Linked DNA regions of Struthio camelus. The protein of the gene in region 3 interacts with the protein of the main gene of each other region in a biochemical or structural test. Links are inferred from orthologs where the notes say so. Each region holds a gene or a part of one and is shown on either strand. Other genes may lie near its edges. The genes, in order: PKNOX1, HOXB1 and PBX1.

What was found.
Region 1: the proteins of PBX1 (region 3) and PKNOX1 form a complex in vitro, tested with the Homo sapiens proteins (2 studies listed by BioGRID). The link is inferred for Struthio camelus from reciprocal best matches to the Homo sapiens genes PBX1 and PKNOX1.
Region 2: the proteins of PBX1 (region 3) and HOXB1 are reported together in a solved structure, tested with the Homo sapiens proteins (2 studies listed by BioGRID and IntAct, with this or other methods). The link is inferred for Struthio camelus from reciprocal best matches to the Homo sapiens genes PBX1 and HOXB1.

Annotation. Positions count from the first base shown.
Region 1 is NC_090942.1:125,189,736-125,197,164, reverse strand, and holds the start of PKNOX1 (homeobox protein PKNOX1), read right to left. Parts: upstream 3,100-7,429; 5' UTR 2,956-3,099; intron 1,801-2,955; exon of another isoform or gene 1,670-1,800; intron 1-1,669. UniProt on the Homo sapiens protein: Activates transcription in the presence of PBX1A and HOXA1.
Region 2 is NC_090966.1:5,489,061-5,496,309, reverse strand, and holds HOXB1 (homeobox protein Hox-B1), read right to left. Parts: upstream 3,072-7,249; 5' UTR 2,887-3,071; coding exon 2,274-2,886; intron 1,555-2,273; coding exon 1,229-1,554; 3' UTR 21-1,228; downstream 1-20. UniProt on the Homo sapiens protein: Sequence-specific transcription factor which is part of a developmental regulatory system that provides cells with specific positional identities on the anterior-posterior axis. Acts on the anterior body structures.
Region 3 is NC_090949.1:7,807,038-7,814,452, reverse strand, and holds the start of PBX1 (pre-B-cell leukemia transcription factor 1), read right to left. Parts: upstream 3,065-7,415; 5' UTR 2,726-3,064; coding exon 2,535-2,725; intron 1-2,534. UniProt on the Homo sapiens protein: Transcription factor which binds the DNA sequence 5'-TGATTGAT-3' as part of a heterodimer with HOX proteins such as HOXA1, HOXA5, HOXB7 and HOXB8. Binds to the DNA sequence 5'-TGATTGAC-3' in complex with a nuclear factor which is not a class I HOX protein.

The DNA.
Region 1 (7,429 bases), on a different chromosome or scaffold from region 3:
GACCCACTTCACCTATATCTACTCAATTTGTAGAGACAAAAACACACAAGCCCAGATAAAAAAAATGCATGCCTCCTCTTCCCAAAAATCACTCAGCAGGTCAATGACAATGAATAAAATCAGTCTTTCAAGTCTCAGTGCAGCGTAATATTCTCTAAACCACACTGCATTTCTCTTGCAAATGAAGTAAACGGAGTTATGCCTCCAGCCATTCACACAATTGAAGCTTATGTTAAGAAATCATCGCAAAATCTACACTGAAGTTTTCACGTGGATACTTTAATCGTAAGATGACAAGAAAATGCATAAAGCTAAAGCAGTCTACAATGAAAATATATACTTATTTGTACAGATTTAAAAAAAGAGACTTAAAAGTGTGCAACTGCTCCTTCAGACTGACTACATGTGAATTTTTTGTTTCTTTTCTCAAAAGTTTTTGAAAATTTAAATTTAATTACATGGCCAGGCATAGATTCAGGAAAGGATAATTCTGCAACGTTATATTTATTTTATGGAGCCATTTAGAAAATGCACTCAAAACACATTTGTTGTTGCTTTATATTCCAGTAATGACAAACTCTGCAAACGCATAGTAAGATTTCCGATCTGATCACAACAATTTGCTTCCTGTTTCAGTATAATCCATAAAATGTGTACATGTAGCTAACATGGACTAACCAGGATCTATTCTGAAACAGGATCTCAGTGCTTGCCTATGGCCAGAAGCTCCATCACTTTAACTACACATGCATAATTATGGTAATGCAATACTATGGTATAGGCACATCGTAGACAGTTTATATCCCACGCAGGAAAGGGAAAGATCTTATGAGCCTATTCATAGTGTGGACAACAGTGAGATACATGTATTTATTGAGCTAGAGTCATAACAGTTCCCCTAATCAAGAAAACAACACTGGTAAAAATTTGTGCAGAGCATTTTCTTTCCCCAGAAGAATGTTATAAACAGCATTATGAACTGGCACATCGTAAAGTGGTATGATTTTGTAAAGATTAAGAAAGAAGTCTTTAAGCAGATGAGAGGTTTAGCATACACGAATGAAAACTTCCTAAACCCTCCCCCTATTCTCCACAAAATGCTGGCTCAAGTGATCTTAAACGTCTGCAAACCGGAACATATGGTCTATGCTCTCTATTTCAGTGTCATATTTAACGGAACACACACACGGTTATTTCATATAGGGACAAGGACAAAAATTAATCTTGCCTGGACAGCACTCAACTACTTATGCCAAACAAGTAATTCATAGCATAGCAAAAAATAATTTATAAGGGTATCTAACCAGATGTAGAGATTCATTATCCTTCCCAAAATGACATTAGTCATTTACTTAGATATAACTGACAAAAAAGGGGTCACCAACTGCAGCTAAGAATACTGTTGTCTCTAAAATGACATGGCATGTTCCCATTTAGGACAAAAAAAAAAAAAGAAATATTAAACAAGACACAGATAAACTTTGGCAGAGAAGTATCACACAGAAGTGTTAACCACTTATAGTTTTAATTGATGAACTCTAGGCCATACAGCTGGTGTTATGGGAACGAGGGAATGCTATCGACTCCTCCATGGAGACCCAGGACATGTGGCTAATTGAGACAATATTTCAGGATAAAACCAGTACTTGATTTATTATTGTTTACACACATCATAAGTGGGGCCTCTGGGCAATGTCAAGTTTCAGCTCCTAATTGCGGCTGTGTAAACACTCAGGAAGCCTCGGTCTAGGTGTCAAGAAGCTTCTACTCACAACAGAGCCAAGAAACAATGAGGTCATATCAAAAATTAAAAAAAAAAAAAAAAACAGAAGAAGAAACCACCACCTCACGCTAACACTGCACACACACTGCCCCAAGTGCCTACCACTATCATAATTTGCTTTCTATGAATTTGGGGGGGGGGGGGGGGGTTGGGGAAGCAAAACCAGAGACGCGCCAGCACCGGCTCTCCCAGGGGGCCGCGCCGCCCGCGACCGCGGGGCAGGGGTGCACCGCCCCAGCCCCGCCGGCGCCCCGGGGCCGAGGCCGCGACCGCGTGCGTTGCGCAGGGCATGGGGTCCGCGCGCGGCAGCGGCCGTTGGCAGCCCCCTCCGCGCCCCCCCCCCCCAGGCCGCACCCGTCCAGGCCGCGGCGATGGCTGCGCGCCCGCGCCGGGGCCGGGGCAGGTGCGGAGGGGAGGCGACGGCAGCAGCTGCCGCCACGGCTTTATTCCCCCTCCCACAGGCGAGGGCTTCGCGAGCTGCGTTGGGCTCCTCAGGGCAGGGACAGGTCGGCGGGGTCCTGGCTAAACCGCGGGCCGGAGGGGGAAGACGGGGGAAGACGAGGGCAAAGAGGGCTGCGAGGAGTCACCGCTGCCACCATCACCTACTCTGGGCACCCCCCCCCCCCCCGCCCCCTCCACGGGAAGGCCTCCGAGCAGCGCCGCTGGCCCTTTAAATATCGCGCCGGCTCCCCCGCCCCCCCTCCCGTCGCCCCCTTCCCGCCCCCTTTCCCGCCGCCGCGGCCCCTCCGCGCGGCGCCCAACAGCTGTCTCGCTCTCGGCGCTCCCTCTCGCCGCGGCTCCCTCCCTCCCTCCGCCCGCCCGCGCGCGCTCCCCGCCGCGCCCGGCCCGCGGCGCGTGCGCGCCCCCGCCCGCGCGCCCACAAAGACAACGGTTAGACGGCGGCTGTTCCAGAAATTTCCTCGCTCCCCCCCCTCCCTCCCTCCCTCCCCTTCCCGCGCCTGCCCGCCACCGCCCCTAACCCCCCTCTGGGTTAGTTACAGTGCGGGTGCCCCCCCGCTCCCCGCTGTTCCGTGTGCCGGGCTCGGCCTCCCCCCCACCCCCCCATCCCCGGTCTGGTTGTGCGCCTGGGCCCGGCCGGCCGGCGGCGGCGGGCGCGCCGTGATGGATGGCTGGCTGGCTGGCTGGGAGCGGGTTTGAGTGACAGCGCTTACCTGGGTGCCAATCTTCGTCACACTGACAAGCGGCTGCAGCAATCGGGACCCGCACCGCCGCGACACGCGTCACCGCGCACACACGCACTCGGCCAATCGCCGGCCGCGCCACCCGACACGACACCACGCCGCGCATCACGCCTCATCAATATTCACCGCGCGGGGCGGGGCACGCGCCGGCGCGGGGCACGCCCACCGCGGCGCCCGCTGTGGCGGCGGGGCGGGGCGGCCGCACGCCACCGCCCTACGCCGGCGCGCCCGGGCTCACACCTCATGAATATGCACGAAGGGGGCGGGGGATCCCGAGCGGGCCCTGCCACGCCCCTCCCCCGGGTCCGGGGTTGGGGGGGGGGAGGTGAAACCACCTTCTTGAAGAGGGGGGAGGAGGTAGAGACCAAGTGGCGCGGAGGCTGGGGAGGCGACAGCCGTGGCGGGGAGCGCCTGCCGCCCGCCTCCCCGGCCCGGGCCGCAGCACCCCCTCAGCGCCCCACCGGCCCCCGGCGGGGGTGCCCCTACCCCCCCGGAGCGGGGAGTGCTGGCCCCCGGGCGGGGGGGGGGAAGGAAGGACACGGGCGGGGAGCCCGGGGCCCGTGGCGCGTGGGCCCGCACCGCCGGCGTGCGGTGGTGCCCGGCCTCGGCCACCCGGGCCTTAGGCCGCCCTGCCGGCGGGGGGGGCCGGGGGCCCAGCCCGGGGAGCGAGGCGCAGGGTGAGGGGGAGCCCCCGGCCGCCCCGGCGGGCGGCTCCGCGGGCACGGACCGGACAGCCTCGGAGACCCGCGCCAGAGCCCTTGTCTAGGGACCAGGAGCGAGGTTTTCCCCCGCGCTGGCGGTTGGCGGCAGGGCAGCAGTTGGTGCCTCCAAGCCAAGAGCTGGCGTCGCTCGGGGAGCGCAGGAACATGCTCGATCCCAGCTGATATTTAGCAGAACCAGTGTTTTGCATTCAGAGGAGAGAGGTCCTGCACCTGTCTGTTAGCCGGGGCGAGCGCCCAGGCGGTCCCGGAGGGACCTTGTCCCGTCTGCTTTGGGCAAGGATGGCCCTGCGTGGCTCCCGTGTTAGCCCAGCCCTGGCCTTGGCGACTTGAGAGATCCCTTGCACCGGCTAGGATCCTAAAACATGCTCCTTCCTGCCCTCCCACCTGCTCCCATGTTTCGTCCTACACCTCCGGAGCCAGCACATGCCCAGGACCGCAGGATCCTGCCCGTGGTCCTGACCGCCATCAGGAAATAGTAAAGGAGAAGGTGCTGGTCACAGATCTCTTTCTTGTACTGCAGTTGTGTGTCCTTTCTCTGTTTGCAAAAAAAGCAGCACTCTGCCGTAGCCTTTCCTTCCCCTTTCACCCCCACTGAGTGTGTTCACCTAAACTGTTATTAAGTAAGCAGTACGATGAACAGGAGAATTAGGCGAGTGTGATTTGTGACTTGTTACTTGCCTCATGGCTGTATGATTTTGTCACTGGGACATTTAGAGAGCTTCCCTGCTTGTAGATTCTGTAGTGTGTAAAAGGGCTTGCATTTACATCTTTCAGTGGGTTCACTGAGATGATCTCTTTGCTCCTCGTTCTCATGACACTGGAAGGAACCTTCACATCTTAGTAGTCTCGCCCTCTCTGCCAAGCAGGCTTTGAGGGCCAAAGCTATCCTGGGCATGCAGGAACTGATACACAGAAAGTCTCATCTCCTTAGGAAACGCAGCTCAAAACAAAAATGGGGTTTGTTCCAGGTTTTGTAGCCCCTCTGCAGCATAGTAGCTGGAAATCTACCTGATTATCCTGTACCTCTACAAACTGGAATATGCCCTGCGTTTTTGAAGATCCATCCATGTTTTTCTGTTGGTTTAACAGTAGGAAGCCCTCCATTTTGTTTTATACAACACTTTGCAGCACCAGGCCACTTAAAGAAGATTTGGCTAATAGGCAATTAATAAAGAAGGTCTGGCTAATAGGCAATTAATATAACCAGCTAAATAAATGTTCCTGCAAGCCAGCTCTGTCTTCAGTCCTCTGAGCGTAACCATTATGTCAAGACCCTGCTTAGCTGGCTCTGGGTTTTCAGGAATCTAGTTGCTCTGTGCACACTGCCACCATTTCTCCAGTCACAAACAGTCCTTTCATCCTCTCACTGCACCACCTGGATCCTTTACAGGAGTTCATTTTCTAGCCATTTTTCCCCATACAGTCAGAACCACATGGATACAAGGCTTGTGAACATGAAGAAAACTTGCACATCTTGCAGGGAGACTAGGAAAGAGAATGAACTGTGCCAGTCCAAAGTGTTCAAATGTGTGAATCAGATCTGCAAGTTCCTGTGCATAACTTAAAAGAATAAACCCAAGATTTAAAAAAATAATACAACTCTTAGTTTGTCTTGCTCACAAGATTCTGTTTCTGCTCTCGCACTATATAACATCTCTAATAGAATTCCTGTGGTCAAGCAGACTTCTTCTACCACCACTTTCTTCTCTCATTATCTCTGACACATTCGTTAATGACACATTCACTAAACAGTTCTTCAAATTAACTGGTTCCCATGCCCAGACCTGCCTCTTCCTCAGATTTGATTCACCTCGCAAACCCTTTGTTCTCCTTCTGCCTTGCCTGCACTTCTTTGGACAGGAGTTCAGTGATTTTCTCTGAAAAAGAACAGCTTAAATTCAAACTAATTTAGTTCCTGTTCAATCCCTTCTCCCAGTTATCCTCACAGCCTTTCTGGATGCCTTTCCCAACTTGAATTTTTCTTTCTCCTTTGCTTAGTTTTGATTTTCCTTCTTTGTTTCCTGTCACTTTCTCTTCCTCAACTCCTTCCCTTCCAACAGGGGCAGAAATTTCTCCTCTGCTGCCTTCCCCTTGCCCGAGTAATCCCGCTTCTTGGTCTGCTTTGAAATTAAGCTAATTTCCATCCTTTTTCTCCTCCGTCTTTTACTCTCTTCGTAATATAAATATGTTCTAGCTTCCTCAGTCTTAAAGCATGTGATTCCCAAGCACTGGGATTAAGAAATCCTAGCTTCCTACTGAGTTGTGGCTCATGGTTGATTAACTTGGGGGTCTAAGGAGGTGCAAGCTTTGACTGAAACTTCTTCTGAAGTTTTGGTATCCATAAGGGGTCTGTTCAGTCAGTGAACTCTCTGTTGCCTAAAAGCTCATGCGTGTTCCATCATTCAGGGAGTGCATGATGCCTCTTCCCTACCTGACTAGGTTTCATGAAAGTTATAGGAACTAAATTATTTTTGAAAATTTTAATCCTCTCTCCTATGGTACTGAAGTAAGTCACTAGGTTCAAATGTGATTAAATCCCATGGTATACCCTACATGACATGACCACATACGCCTTGTTCCCTTAGAAAAGCAACGTAAAAATCACCCTTGATCCAACTTGTGCCTTCCAGCTGCCCATCTCTAAATTCACTGAATGCAGTGTACATAACCACTGTCAAGAGTTCCTTGTTTCTCATTTTATTTTCAGCTCTCCCTGATACATCCTCTGCAGGCTTGAAAGCTAAGAAGCTTGCTTTTAAAAAATATGATGGCTGAAATGACTCCAGGAGATAAAGATTTAAGAAAAGCACCAAAAGTTACAAGGCTTTTGTGAGAAGCTTGCAGCGCTCAGAAAATAGAAAGAACTGGGCGGAGAGGAGCAGGAAAAAAGAATGAAGAAGTAAATGAGAAAAATCGTACAAAGGAAAATAGGCAAACAAAAATGATCAGAGGAAAAGATAGGTACACCCTTCTGTTTCCAACTGTCCGAACACATTGTGTTGCCCCGCATCAGTTCTGCGAAAGGATCAGTGTCCAGTACAACAGATCCTTACAACAGAGGACTGAAGACAGCTAACAGGAGGGAATTCTCCACATTACACATTTTGTAAAGATTATTACACAACTGATACAGTTTTACACTATCAGTTTCCGTTGATATAGGTGTACTCACTTAAGAGGCAGTGATGAGATAGCTGCTTTTTTTCTAAAAAAAGCTCCCCAAAACTGCACGGAAAGGTGAATGAAATGCCTGCTTAATACTTTACAATTGTGAATTGCAAGTACTTCAAAAATGAGGTTCAGTAATATTTAGGTTTGCAACTGCAAATAATAAAATACTCAGATTCTCAAATTCCTGTTACATTATTCACATTGAACATATGAAATATCCTCATTAAGTACAGCTCATTATATAAAGCATGCACAGATATGTTTGCAGGGTCAGGGCCTTACTTGGCTACTACAACAGTCCCAAATACATAATAGAATACCTCACAGTTGGATCAAGTATTTGCAAACACTAAGCTATTAAAGTCCTGTCTCACCAAATGAGAAAAGCCACTCTTCCAAATCTGTTCTCTGAAATACACATTCAGTTGCAATTTACTGATAGAAGGATTGCATGAATGTCTTAGAGGGCAAAACTAGTTCATACATACAATTGCTAGATGAGTTAGAGTTTCTATGACATCCTTTAGCAATCTCCAAGTTCTAAATTTTAA
Region 2 (7,249 bases), on a different chromosome or scaffold from region 3:
GCTCAGAGCTGAGAAGATTTGCATGTGGAAAAAGTAAACTTTATTAGATTGAGGTAGTTTCATTTCAAAGTACAGAGCACGGGAAAGGGAGCGGAGACGAAACGGGAGAATCCGATTAAGAAATCGCTAGTTTTTCTCGATGTCGTTTTTCTCTTCGAAGCACTTTTTAACGACAGTTTCCGTGATTTTCATTTCGTTCTACGCTAAAATTTCTCGTAGGGAAGGGAAACAACTAATCATGGTTCAATAACGTTTTTATCGGACTTCAATAAGCCTAAAGGAGGGGGGGCGGTTTACAAGGAACCCTGCTACTTCGTTTCAAGACTTCAGGCTATCGACACACACCATAAATACCAGTCAGTCCATCAGTGTCTTGAGGGAGTCAAGAGCTGAGGTACCACTCCGCAGCCTTGTTCCCGTGCACATTCACACCTCGTACGACAATGACCGTTGCCCAAAGTACCCCGAGGTCAGCCTTCTCCTAATCTCGTTTTCTCTGATAGCATAACCCTCCCTCCCCCAGGACTAGTAACAATCATAGTCGAAGAGTGTGCAGAACCCTGTAAAGCAGTAATAGTGCAAAATGATAGAAGAGGAGTTGCATTTTTGACTTGTATTTGTTTGTATCTTTCCAGAGGCCTCTAGCATTTGGATGTCAGATCTCATTCCAAGATATACAAAGAGTAAATAAAAGAGAAACAAAATATGCCCAAAACTTTTTACACTCTCATAGGGAGGACAAAATACATCAAATGTAGGATTCTTGCAGACAAAAGTCATTGTGCACATTTTAAAAACAGGAGAGAACTAAATTCGTTTTAAAGTTTCTGTAGTTGAAAGTGCAGTTCCTATTGGGGAAGGAGAAGGGAAAGGGAGAGGGAGAAACATCCCTGAGACAAATGGCTATTGCTAAGAATATATGAGGACACGGCTGCTCCTTTGGAGTCCAGTGTTTTACAGCGGGTCTATAAATTAAGAGAGAGAAATGCAAGCAGGAGAATTAATATCGCACGTGTGGAGACGACTCTAGCCAAAGGGACTGCTCAGAGGGGACGTGTATCCTGCTTCCGCGCGGGTGGATGTGCCCGCTCTGCTCGTGCGTGTGTGTGGACGGGGCTGTGCATGGGAGGCGCGTGTTCGTGCGTGTGCGTCTGTTCGGGGCTGCCAGGAGCAGCTGCCCCGCCAGAGCAGACCCGAGTTGATCGCTGTGCCCCTGGAGGGACGTATTTCAGGAAGATACCGAACTGGGGGAAGCCTCAGGTGAGGTGCAGTTGGACTGATCCGATGCTTCGTTTGCTTCCTTCGCAGACCTGGAAGCAGCAACCGGGGCTAGACCTTCCTTTTCCCTCTTCTTCTGCTTCATCCGCCTGTTCTGGAACCAGATCTTCACCTGGGTTTCGTTGAGCTCCAGGGTAGCAGCGATCTCCACCCTTCGGGCCCGGGTGAGATACTTGTTAAAGTGAAACTCTTTCTCCAGCTCTGTCAGCTGCTTGGTGGTGAAATTGGTGCGGATGGTGTTGGGCTGGCCCAGCAGTCCGTACTCCGACACTTTAGCTGTTAAAAAGCAAACATCAACAGGGTAAGAGCAGCCAAAGCAATTCCCTCCCTAGGGCCGGGGACACTGTGGGTGCCTGATTAAGCGGGCTCTCCCCCGCTCCCCCAGTTTCCGGGGCATTTGGTCCCTCTACCACCCGCAGCTTGGTCCTTTCTCCCGGAGCCTGAGCTATCCTTGGCTTCCCAGCCCAGGGATATCACCTCGAGGGACAGATAGTCCCAGGCTCTGCCAAGCTGCCCCCTTCCTTTGCAACTGTCCCCCCGTTTTTCCTGCAAACTGCCATGAAACTTGAACGTGCGTGGGAAGGACTGGAAGGGGAGGGCGATGATGAGGGGAGGAGAGCAGACTGAAATTTAAAGAAGAAAGTAGAGAAGGAAGTTGAACAATGGGGGAGATGGACGCCACAACTGTGGAAGAAGCAGGAAGCCTGGAGCGTTTCCTATTCCGAGCTGAGCTTAAATCGCATTGGGCCTATGGGGAAGTGAGTTCAGGGACTCTCCACCAGATGCGTCTGGAATATCTCTAGCTGGCTTTTCTGCAGCGCTGAGCTGGTGTTTAAATGAGAATGAATCCATGTTCCCCTGGAAGATGAGCCTTGAGTACCAGCCCCAGGGAAGGCAGCCTTTACTAGCAAGGCTGCACAGCTGCCCCCCTGTCTTTCTTCTCCCTCCCCCGGAGGGGACCCATCCTCGCAAAGCTCTGCGCTCGCCAGACTCACCTGTTTTGGGCGGGTTCCTCTTCACTTTCATCCAGTCGAAAGTCAGCGTGGCGCTGGAGTTGGGGCATGGCTCAGAGGGGCACGCAGGGTCTTTGTCCTCATTTAGAGAAGGCGAAAGACTGCTGTAAACCGCGGGCAAATAGCCGGGCTGTTCCTGCCCGTAAAGGTGTTGTTGCTGGTACTGTCCAGCGGCAGCCACCGCCCCGCAGTAGCCCTCTGCTAGGGAGCTGAGGGTGGATCCCGCGCTGGCGGAGTACCCCGGCGCTTGGAAGTACGCGCCATCCGCATCCTGCTGGCCGAGGTAGAGCTGGTGATGCCCGTAGCCGGGGCTGCAGGTCTGGGCTGGGTACCCGGAGGCTGGGGCAGCGCCCGCGAAGGGGACGGTGCGCCCGGAGGAGGGCGGGTGGTAGCTGGGGCTCTGCTGGGGGAGAAGGGCAGCCGCGGCCGTGCTTCCTCCTACGCCAAAGCGCCCGTCTCCGTTAAAAGTGTCACTGGCAGGGCTACCTGAGCAAGAGGGGAAGGAAGGGGAGCTCTGCTCTAAATGATGGTAGGCGCCCGTCCCACGGTTACAAATTGCATACTCTAAGAAGGAGTTCATCCTAGTATTGTCCATCTGCCACTGATGGAGGAGGGTCAGCCTGTTTTGGGGGGGATTCCGCCTGCCCTACAACCTTTAGATAGTATGTCAAAGCTGTAAAACTTCCTTCCATGCATCGCTAGCCCTCGAAGCCCGGAGCCTTCGGCAGGGTTTGGGCTGGGGGCAGGGGCGGAGGCCACGTGGTCCGCTCCGAGCCCAATGAGCGAGGAGCTCCTGAAGTTTGTCAGATATCTGAGCTCATCCATCAAGGCCCTGACATTTGCATGACAAAGGGGTTTCAATCAAACCCTGCCCATCAATCTGATAACAACACGAATACGTCAAAATCTTTCCTCAAAGACTTTAAAAGAGAGAAGGGAGGTGGGGTGCGGGGAGGTGGAAGGGAAGAGGGGACTAGGGGAAGAATTACAATTATCCACGACTGTTTTAAGTGCTAAAGAAGCCCCCAAGTTATACGAGCAACCAATTTCATCAGAACTTCCCCTTCCCCCAACTTAAAAAGGTTTTTCCCCCAATCCTAGCTCCATCTGAAAATAAATAAATAAATAAAAGACAGAGAAAGACATAGGGAGATGGGTTTTTTTCCCCAACTACAAAAAGATGCCCTTTTCTTCATTTGGAAACTTTCCCTGAAAAGTGGCTTGAAAATGTTTGGAGTTTTCTGGGCTAAGAAGTCTACAAGAAGCTCCTAATTAAAAAAAATGCTCCATATGTTTTAATTTTGCCACACCGGCTTTGTGTCTAGAGCCAGTGTGGGTAAAAGCAATGTAATTAAATCAATATTCTAATGAGGCAATGAAATAAAGTTAGGAAGACAGAACGTCTTTTGTTGGAGAAATACCATGCACAGCTTAGTAATAGGAGGAATGGAACTAAAAATTATCTATGTGTCTGTCAACTCATATGTCTGTTTATCCATCCACTCATCCATGTGCCTACCTATCTATGTATTTATTATTGAAAACAATAGATGTTTTTAAGGGCTTTGACTAATGCTCGGACCTTAAGCTCTGCTTTTCAGTTACAAATTTGGTTTGATCTTTTCCTGAATCTATTGTAAGACTGTAATTTTCCTCTAGCAGAGTCCAGCTGATGAGTAGGTGGAAAGACACTGACTTCAGGCTGGCCACTCCGCTGCTCTTAGAATGGAAACATAGGTAGGCAACATTTATTTACTTGTTAGCAGAGGGGAGACAAGAGCACCCAACAATATGACGCCCACAGTCATTTGTTACTTGTCAGAATATTTACTGGTTATTCAGCCTTTAAGAAGAACCAGGAGGGTTTCTTTTTTCAGGCCAAAAGTTCACTTTGAAAGGCATAAACATATTCTCTAGTTCAGGAGTTTGGCTGATGCAACACGTTGGGGTAACATTTGTTTAAAAAAATGCAATCCATGCAGCCGTGGCATTAACCCTCCTCCAGCCTTTAAATCCCTTCGAGAGAAAAAGTGAGTTTTAGCCAGCTACATTTCTTTTCCTTCAATACAAAGAATAAAGAGAAAGTTATTGCCAATGCTGCATGGCTATTTATTCATTTATTCTGTAAACTCTGCTGATGCTGAAATATTCAAGAAGCAAATATTTGAGGTTACAAATGCTCTCTGAAACTCACTACAACCTTTTCTGCATAAAACAACCGAAAGCGATTATAAAGATTCAAGTCAACTATCATGTTGTAAGAGAAATTGGTTTCTAATTTGATTCCAGGAGTGCTTTTTATACTATGTTGCGTTCACGTTTAAATTGAATGTAGTATATTTAAACGATGCTTACAATAGATGATTTATGGATTTAAAATGAAAAAAGAAAAGGATAGATGTTTATTTCAGCCTTGAACCAATTGTTTCGTATTGTCTGATAATTTTCCACCATGATCTCACTCTAGTGTTACATTAAGGGGATGCTTTATGTCATTAAAATACAGCTGTCTTCTGGAGTTTCAAAATTAGCTCCAAGAGAGCTCACTACTGCAGTTATGGAGGCAAAAGTTTTGCTATGAAACTTCCCTCAGTGAAGCCTAAGCCAAACCTTAGACCTGAGGCAGTTTTGGCATGAAAGCAGAGTTTCTTTGGTGGCCAGACAAATCAGACAGGATGCAGTCAAAATGCTAGCCATGAAATACACCAAATACTCGGACCTGAGTGGAGGATGACATATGGTCCTTGGACTCCTGGGAACTACTCCAAATCCTAGCTTATTCGGGGAAAGTGAAGGTATTGGTGAGACGAGTACATGAAAGTGAAGATGCTGGTAGGACAGACAGGCGTGGAGGTGAAGGGACTTTGGCAGAGGCTGGAGGAGCCTCTTTGGAGGTACCTAATCACGAAAGACGGGCTGTGAGCTGATTTTCTCCCAGCAAGGGGACGCTGCGTTGCCAGTGCTGCCCTGGCACTGGTGGCCGTTTGCCATCTGCTCCACTCGGCCGGGCAAGGCCCCTCATTCCTTACCTGCTGGCGGCAGCCAAGGCAGCAAAAGACCTGGGCACGTATCCGGGAGGAGGGGGGGAAGGGAGAAGGAATGACAAATGAAAGGTGCTGGCTCCCCCCGCGCCCCGACTCTGCCTTGCGCGGGGCGGGGAGATGCCGGGGGCCAAACCGGCATCTCGGAGTCTCCGCGGAGCGCCCCGGCCCGGAGGCTACCGGCGGCCGCTGGCCACAGCTCCGCGCCCGGGGCTACCGAGTCGTCCCGGCGAAGCAGGCGGAGGCGCCCGTCGTTCGGCCCCAATAGCGCTCAGCGCCCGGCTGCTCTCCCAGAAGTGGTGCATGACCTGTGGCTGCTTCGCCGTATTTTCAAAAGCCCCAGCGTCAAAGTGCATGCAGGCTGCCCTTGGGAATCGTTTTTCCAAATTTTGTTCTTAGCTCCTTTCCTTTGATCCAATATAAAACTGCTGCTGTTATTATTATTGTTTTTAATTCCTCTCGTGGAGGCGATGTGAGACCCATTTTCGGTACAGAGCTTCAGAACTTGCAGGAAAAGGAAATATCAGATTATTGGTAACCAATCTCCTGGTGAACCTAGTTCTATTATTTACATATTTATTTCTTTAAAACACCCATTACGGCCAGTTGAGAGAGGAGGTGATCAAAATAACATAAGAAAAGGTGTAAGTGGAGACTCTCAGCTTCACAGACCTCTGTCCTTCCCTTCTCCTCCCCCCGAATATATTTAATTAGCCATTACCCTTTCATTATATTTATTGCTTAATTTTCACTTATTTATTGTGGGAAACAGTGGCGGCAGTAATTGTTCCTACCCCCTAAAGCACAAAAGGCGCCGTTTGGGGGATGATGCTCTCTTTCACTCAACGAGATTAAAATAGAATATACGGAGATGGCTGAAGATAAAGAGGAGCGGGGAATTTTTAGCTCTTGGTTCCTGGGAAAAGAATCTGTGCTGGCCAGGAGAGTAGTAGGTTGGTCAATGAGAGGAAGAGGAAGTCACTTTGTTGCTTGCTGGGTCAGATTTCTTGCATGGCGTTAAGTGTCTAGCCCTCCCCAGAAAAGAGCTGCTTTCCTGAGCTTGGTTTCCTATTCCCCATGAGGTAATGCAGGACTGCAGGCCTAATGCACTTCAGGAGTTATTGGCCTAAAACCCAGACTTTATGTGACGAGCGGATAGGAATGAGGAGGTGACCAGCGGAATAAGCGGTTTTTCCGCCCGGCTGCCGGCACTGCGGAGCTGGTGCTGGCGGGAGCGCGCCTTCTGCCCGAAACACACCCATGCGCCTCGGCAGCTCCGTCTACCCCGAAGCAGGGGCGGCCCAACATGTGCCGTAACGAAACCTAGGCATTTCATCAGCCGTCATTCATCTAATGCATTTCCCATGATGAAAGCACCCACTCCCTCTCACTATTAAATTAGCAGGGATACTGCTTTTGGTTCTCTAGAGAAAACCACGCCTTTATTCTCTCCAGTCCCGTTGAAGACATCTTTTTGAAGTAAACATTTTGCTGAGAGTGGATCCTCCCTTTTAGAGACAAAAAATAGACCCATGAAACTCGGTGCTGCAGCAGGCTGGGGGGAGGGCAAGGAGAGCTTTCGCCCTTTCCTAAGAGATGGCTTGTTTGCCCAGAAACAACTTTCTTGACATGTAGGATAAGGCCCCTCGGAAGATGCTTTGTGGGAACACCTCTTGTAGCAAATCTTCATCCAAGACAGACCGGAGAATTTTCTGTGCAGGAGACACAGACGAAAATTAAGCATTTCCAAGACTCCAGAGCGCTCAGACAGAGTCTTCGATGTTTCATTTTCGAGCTAAATATAACTCTCTGCAGAGAAAGTTGTGTCGTGCGTACGAAATGTCACTTCTGGCTCCTCGCGGGGTGATTTATAAGTAGCACTGCTGACGCTTGGGATGTGTGTTTGGCTGTGGACTT
Region 3 (7,415 bases):
CGAGGACGCGGGGGACGAGGCGGGCGAGCGCCGAGGCCGCCTGCCTCGCGGGGAACAGAGGAATTGTGCCAATTCAGAAACGGCCTGAAAACAGCATTTGCCACCAAGGGGCTTGCAGAGCCTCGCGGTCCAAGGCGGGCTACGCGCCGAGCCAAAGCCGGGGGCTTTGGGAAGCCGAGCTTGGTTTGACTCGCTTGTTCGAACACGGGCACGCACGGAGAGGGCTCCCTCCGTCTCCCACCTCCGATATTAAATTCGGCCATGTGCTTCCTTCAGTTCATCTGCAAGGCGGGGGGGGGGGGATGCCCCCCCTTTTCACAGGGCTGGAAACAGCCCCTGATTAGAGCTGTCAATTCTGGGAATTTCAGCGCCCAGCTCGGAGGACGGAAACGCACAGCCACAGGCACACGCGCGTCTGGAGGAAGAGCTGCATTTCCCCGCGCTCGTGCTACACCTCTCGCAGGCACCCAGCTTAGGGGCAGGTGTTAAAATTTAATTCTTTACAACTGGGACACCAAGCACGTTTAACAACGCAGCCAGATGCTTCTGGGGAAGGGGACAGTCCGACTCAATGTCTCTTGCTTTCGGTGGATGTTATTTAGGAGCTGGCCGTTCTTCCGTGGGTTTCGAGGAAAGAAGGGAGCTGCAGGGGGGAAAGGGGAGGGTTTTAATCTGATCGTTTTGAAACCCACCATGTGCCTGCTGAGGCAAAGAAACAGCATCTTTTTTTTTTTTTTTAAGCCATACGATCATTTTGCAGAGGGTCTAGCTGTATAAAGGGCTGCTCCTATCAGGCGCCACTTACGGCAATTCTGTTTACCAACCAAAATTACATGTGAAGACGATGTGAACATCTGGCAAACATTCACACTACTTACCCCACAACATGTTAAAGAGATTTATATGTGCACAGTGAAGCCTCTCAAAGGTATATACCCTGGTGGAACCACAGTGTCTCCTTATCAGCACACCCAGATGGGCACAGACACTTGGGTATAAACAAATCACGTACATAAGCTTTAGGGGCCCTCTTACAATTAATACCGGCACTTTGCATCTTCCCAAAACTTCACCAGCAAAAAAAAAAAAAAAAAAAAAAAGGCAGCAAAACCACCGTGCGATAGAGGGATGGATGCAGGAAACGTAAAGCCAAACATCACTGATAAATACTGCGCGTTTGGCAGCTCAAAAACAAAAGTGTGGAGGAAGCAGCTGAAATAGTCCAGCAAAGCAAAATCATAAAGCCTTCTTCTAGATCTGTTCTGGACTGGTTTTACTGATTTGATTAACTGCACTAAATTACTCACGCAGGAACACACAAAATTCCTGGCACTTTCAGGAGAAAGAGCCCTCGCTTCCCCCAGGCTGACCAGGGAGAGAGCGCAGTATTTCCTCCTCCTCCTAAGAGCTACTCTGTCCCTGCAAGAACACACAAGAATTAGTAAGCTCATCCCCATGAGCACCGTTTTCGGGAGCCGGGAGCTGCGCACCAGGCGGGAAGGCAGGGAGACGTGATGTAAACAGAGGTCTGGGGGCTGCTTCCAGCCCTCTGGAAGTTCTCGCAAAGGGAGTTGAGCGGGCTGCACGGTGCGTTTTTCCAGGAACAATGTATTCTAGCAATCTGTTCCAGTTCGGAGCATAAATGCCAGGGGGAACGACACCACACCTCACCGCTCGGCAGCGCAGAAGAAAATCCCAATGCACCCCAGAGCATTTGGGGCAACTTTTTTTTTTTTTTTTTGGAACTATGTCCTCAGTTTGGGGATTTTTTTTTTTTGCCCCCCCCCACCCCTAACTTTGGCTAGCGCCTTTGAAGGTGCGCGTCAGGCTTGCGCTCCTTGAAGCCACGGGCGGTTCGGGTGCCGGCTTTTGCAGCCTTTCTTCCTTAAACGCCTCTGCCTTTTTTTTTTTTTTTTTTTAAAGCCTCTACGTACGTCCTCCGAGCATAAAAACACGGCCTTAAAAATAACAACGCGGGGCCCCAAACGAGCATGGTTGGGAAAGGAAAAAAAAAAAAAAAGAAAGAAAGAAAGAAAAAGAAAAACCGCGTCCAAAGATGGAACAGCACTTCACGCGTTTTTCGGCGGCGTTCAAAACACATCGGTCTCCCCGCAAGCCCAGCACGGTTTTCCGCCCCCGCGGAGCCGGCGAGCTGCAAACCCGCAGGAAACTGGCCCAAAGTTGGGGGGGGGGGGGGGGGAGAAAAGAAAGGAAAAAAAAAAAAAGAAAGAAAAGCCCTCCTTTCCTTTCCCTCCCTCCCAAGTGGCCAATTTCTGGAAAAATAAGTCGTCGTCCCCCCCCCCCCCCCCCCGCGCCCTCCAGCCCGGCCTGTCCGTCCTGCCGGGAGCCGCCGCGGCTCCTCCGCAGGACAACAAAGACGGCGCCGGGGGCCGCGCAGGGCGCACAAAAGGCGGCGGCGGCCCCGGCCCCGGGCGGCCCCCGGGAAACTTCCCCGCCGCCGCCGCCGCCGCCCCGGCACCTGCCCCCGCGGGCAGGGCGCGCTGCCCCCCCCCCCCCCCCCCGGCGGCTCTCACCTGGCCTGCGCCTCGTCCAAACTCTGGTCCGTGATGGTCATGATCTGCTGTAAGATGTCTCCGATGTCCTGCTTCCTGCCGGCCTCCCCCTCCGCCCCGCCTGGTCCATCCTGCATGTGCTGGGACAGGCCCGGGTGGCCCGGCATCCCCACCCCGCTGTGCGTGTGCATCAGCCGCGGCTGGTCATCCATTTCCAGTCCCCGGCTCCCCTCGGCCGCCTCCCTGCCTGGCTCCCGGCGCGCCTGGGGCTGCGGCTGGGGCTCGCCGCCGCCGCGCTCGCTTTCTTTTCTTGCTCGCTTTCTTCTTCTTCTTCTTTCCTTCTCTTCCTTCTCCCCCCCCAACCGCCGCCCCCCCCCCCTCGCTTCTTCCTCAGCCTCTTCCTCTTTGCTTTTTATTTATCCTTCACGCTGGGCTTCCAGCTCCGCGGCGGGGAGGAAGAGGAGGAGGGAAAAATGGGAGAAAAAAAAAAAAAAGAGAGGAGCGAGAGAGAGAAAAGAAAGGGGGAAAAAAAATCCCTTTGGTTGCTGGAGGAGGGAGGGAGGGAGGGAGGGATGAAGGGAGGGAGAGAGGGAGGGGGTTCCGGGGAAGGGAGGGGAAACGGCGGCGACTCCAAAAGCAGGGCAGCTCAGCCCTGCCGCCCGGCAGCGGCGGCCGGGGGGCGGCCGGGCAGGCGGCGCCGGGCCGGGCCGGGGGGGGCAGCGGCAGCCGGGCCGCGGCGGCGGCGGGGCGGAGCGGAGCGGCCGCCGCGATGGCAGCGCCGAGCGCCCGGGGCCCGAGCGCCGCCGAGCCGGGCAGGCAGCGCGCACCGGGGGAGGGCTCCAAACTTTCCCTCCCCCGCCCCCCCGCCCGCCCACCCCAACCCTGCGGCCGGGCCGAACCGGGCTCGAGGCTCGCTCCTCTCCTCGGCTCCGCTCCGCGCCCGCCAGCGGGGCCTCCCCTCCGCCCCGGGCCTGCGCGCACCGGCTCCCCCCTCCCTCCCTCCCTCCCCTCCGGTGCTCGCCGCCTGCTTTTGTTCAGCTCCGGACTCCTCAAACTGGCACGGAGGAGCCCGAGGAGCAGGAAGGGAGGCGGGGGGCGGGGGGGGAAGGAAGGCCGGGGCCACCGCCGCTGCCGCCGCGGCTCCCCGCCCCCCCGGCGCCATTGGCGGCGGCGGCGGGAAGGGCGGCCCCGCCACGGCCGCGCCGCCCCCGCCGCGCCCGCCCGTCAATCTCCGGGTTCAGAGGTGGGCCGGGGCCGCGCCCCGCCCGCGCCTTAAAGCGGCCCCGGCCGCTGCTGCCGCTCCGCCCGCCGGGCTCCGCCGGCGGCGCCGCGGCCCTGCGCCTCCCCTCAGCGGCCTCCACGGCTCCCCGCCGCCGCCTCGGCTCCCCCCCCCCACCCCAGGAGGCCTCAGCCCCTCGCCTCCCCTCCGCCGCCCCACAGCTTCCCCTCCGCCGGCCTTCCCGCCTCCTCGGCCTCCCTTCGGCCCCGTCTCCCCTCAGCCAGCCGCCTCTGCCTTCCCCACCCCTGCCCGGTGAGGCGCGGGGCCTCTGCCCTCAGCCCACAGCGCTGCGGCCCCCAGGCCGCACCTTTGCCCCCCAGGCGCCAGCCGGGCTCCTTCCCTCTGGCCTCCGCTGCCGGCATTTCTTCACTGCGCCTTCTCTCTCTCCTTCCTCCTCCACTGACTGGGCTCCCGCACAGCCCCACGAGCGGGGCCTTTCCGGAGAGCCGGCTGTACCAGCGCACCCCGTCTCGCGCAGGCCGGCCGTGCCGCGTCCTGTGCGGGGAGCGGTGGGGACTGCCCTTAACGGAGAGGTTGAGGGGCTGGAGGGGGACGTTTGTCGGTTAAACCACAGTGGGTTTGTGGCCCCCAGGCTTGTTGCCGGGAGATCTCTGCCGGGGCTCTGTTTTGTCATCGATCCCTTTGCTCTCCTTCCACGGGAGGAAATGGGGTTGTGGTTTGCACGGTTTGGAGGAAGGAGCCCTGATTTGTCTGGAAATATTCACATGCCGAGGAGTTCCTCCAAGGCCTTCCAAAGAAGGTTGGGGAGGGATGAGGCAGACAAGCAAAACCCAGAAATGGAAGAGGGAGCCCCTGGGGATCCACCAGACTAGAAGATGGTGGTGTCAGATGTTTCCTCAACCCACACGCAGGCATCTTGTCTCCAACCATAGTGGGAGGAGTAGGCGTTCAGTGGCTGAGCAGGGACATGGGGACAAGGGGTGAGAACTAGGACAGGAGTAGGTGGGCGTTTGCTGGAGGAGCAGGACGCAGTGGGGTGAGGGTGGCTGGGCCAGGCAAGGGATATCCAGCTTCTCCTCACCTTCTTCCTCTGCTCTTCTTCCATGATCCACCACTCAGGTCCAGGGAAGAAAGGGCACCCACATATCGCTTATTTGGAGATATTCAAAAGCCATCTGGACACAATCCTATGCAATGTGCTCGAGGTGACCTTTCATGAGCAGAGGGGTTGGGCTAGTTGATCTCCAGAGGTCCCTTGCAACCCCAACGATTCTGTGATTCTGTGATTTATAGGCCTTCAGGGGGACGTCTGGGAGGAGGAGGAAGGTCAGGAAAGGCCACATCCCTTTGAAGCAAGCCCATCGATTTGCCATGTCCCTTACCCTTGAACACCAGCAGGACCCACACACCCACTACCACAACCACCACCACTGCTCCCAAGCTTGTTTTGGAGCCAGCGCTCTGCCCAACCAGTACGCCCTCTGAGCAGGGGAAGTTAGCAGAGGTCCTAAGGCCACGGTGACTGCCATTCAGATCTACATGGGTTGGTTACAGTGTCACAGCACTCAAGAAGTAAAGGACTTCTCCAGCCCCTTCCTGTGTTCCCCTGGATCTGAGACTGTCACCTGGCCAAAAAGACCTCTGTAGGCATTGGCAAGTGATGACCAGGGATGGCCTGAAGCTAAGGCTTGCCTGCAAACTTGTATTTTTAAGAAATAGAAAGTAGTTTTGGTGATCACAAGCATTTCCTGCTTGGAGGATGATTTCTTCAGATTGTCCCTTTCTCGGATCTGAGAGTTTCTAAGTTCCAGGTCCTTTGTAACGCAAGGGAAGAAAGGCCATGCCCTGTTCCTAATTGCAGCACAGGCTGAGGAAAGAGCCACCCAGTTCATTGGAAAGGAAAAATAAATAAATAAATAAATAAAGAAGCAATAGTTTTGCTTCCTCTCTTCTATTTTAATGAAACACTTTCCAATGTTTTAAGCAAAACATGACTTTTCATTTTGAAATTTCCTTTTGAACCATTAAAATGTTTTAAAGTGGTTGAAGCCAAAGTGAGATGTTTTGATTTTTGTCTCTGTGAAATGTTTCACTTAACACACGTTCTTTTTTTTCCCCTTGATTTGCCAAAATTTTCAAAGGTTTCTGTTTTCTCACCCCAAAAATATATCTATATATTTTTTACTTTTTTTGAAAGGGCCAAAAATGGGAGAAAATATCCATTATCTACATGGCTTCACAGGAAATGGAACTTAATCCAAGAAAAACGCATCAGCCAAGGGACTCCTCTCCGAAGTTCCAAACTTTCAGACACTTAGTCATCTCTTCACTCGCTTGCTCACACACCAAGTCTAGACATGTGTTGTCTAAAAATCTGGCAGGGACTGTCCCATCCCCAGAGGTCAGGACAGGGTCTTTCCTATTTGATCTTGAGCAGCTCCAAGGAGAGGAGCTGCAGCTGAGCTGAACACGGACTGCAGACTAGGGAGTGGTGTAGAGGGGAGGGACAGGCAGCGATGCCCCAGTGATGGCGGGGCCCACGGGATAGGGTGGCCTGCTGACCCCACAGACAAGTCCTTCCCCCCTTTCCCAAGTCACAATGCAATGCTTCTGGCTAATCAAGCCAATACCAGAGGACAGGAGCAGGAGGACACTACAGGTCAGCCAGCAGTGGTGGGGTATGAGGCATGCAAGGGGGCAAGTGCTGGAGATGAGCTGTCTGTGGGTCCAGGGTGGCCCCCCAGCGTTTCCCATGGAAAACGGAGAGTGACCCAGAAGGCGGTGAGTCCTACCACGAGGGAGGCTTTCCGGCAGGGGGCCCTTGGGGGAGCAATTGGGCAGGGCAGGAATGGCCAAGGCTCTGCCTCTGCTATCTACTGGAGTCTGTAAAATCCTTCTTGTTGGAGATAGCTAATCCTGGGCCTTTATAACGCCTCTCCTGAAAAAGCACGTTTCATTCCTCTGTCTCCTTCTGCCTTCCAAGTGCCTGAGATTGCAATAGGTATTACCCAAAATGTTCCCCATGGGAGCCGACACTGGACTCCCTTAAAACCCAAATACTGTCACCCCTCCTTCCCCACGATACAAGCAAACACTATGCTCTATTATCTCTACACTCACTAAATCTTTCTGAAATGAAGAATAAACATTTCCACCACACATAGTATAAGTGTATACGCCAAGCTGCATCGCTTCCTTTCCTCTGTGGTTATTATAAAGTGGTTTGTTTCAATGGTGAAGCAGATGGACGGATTCCAAGTCTGTCTTCCCCACTCCCTGTAAGTACGTCTAACGCTATCTTTGGTTGATCACAGATTCCTGAAGAAAATGTTTATGGGAGTCCCTTATTTAAAATCTTGGCTCCTTCTTAGCGTCATTCCTATTATTTATTAAATGAAAATCAAGCTGTTTTTAACGCATCATTACTGTGGCAAAGCGAAGCCCTCGAAAACGAAGGCCAAACGCGCTGTTTCTCTGAATGTCCATGAGCGTCTTCTCATAGGCTTGCGTCACTCATCCCAAGCGTGCAGTCATGGCCCCTGAGCGCTCGCGTCGTGACGGAACGGGAGCAAGTCCCCCGGCCTGCGGCTCCCTACACGTTTTCATTTTGGTGAAGGGAGGCCGAGTTCCACAGAATATTTTACTCTACTGTCCAAAATCTG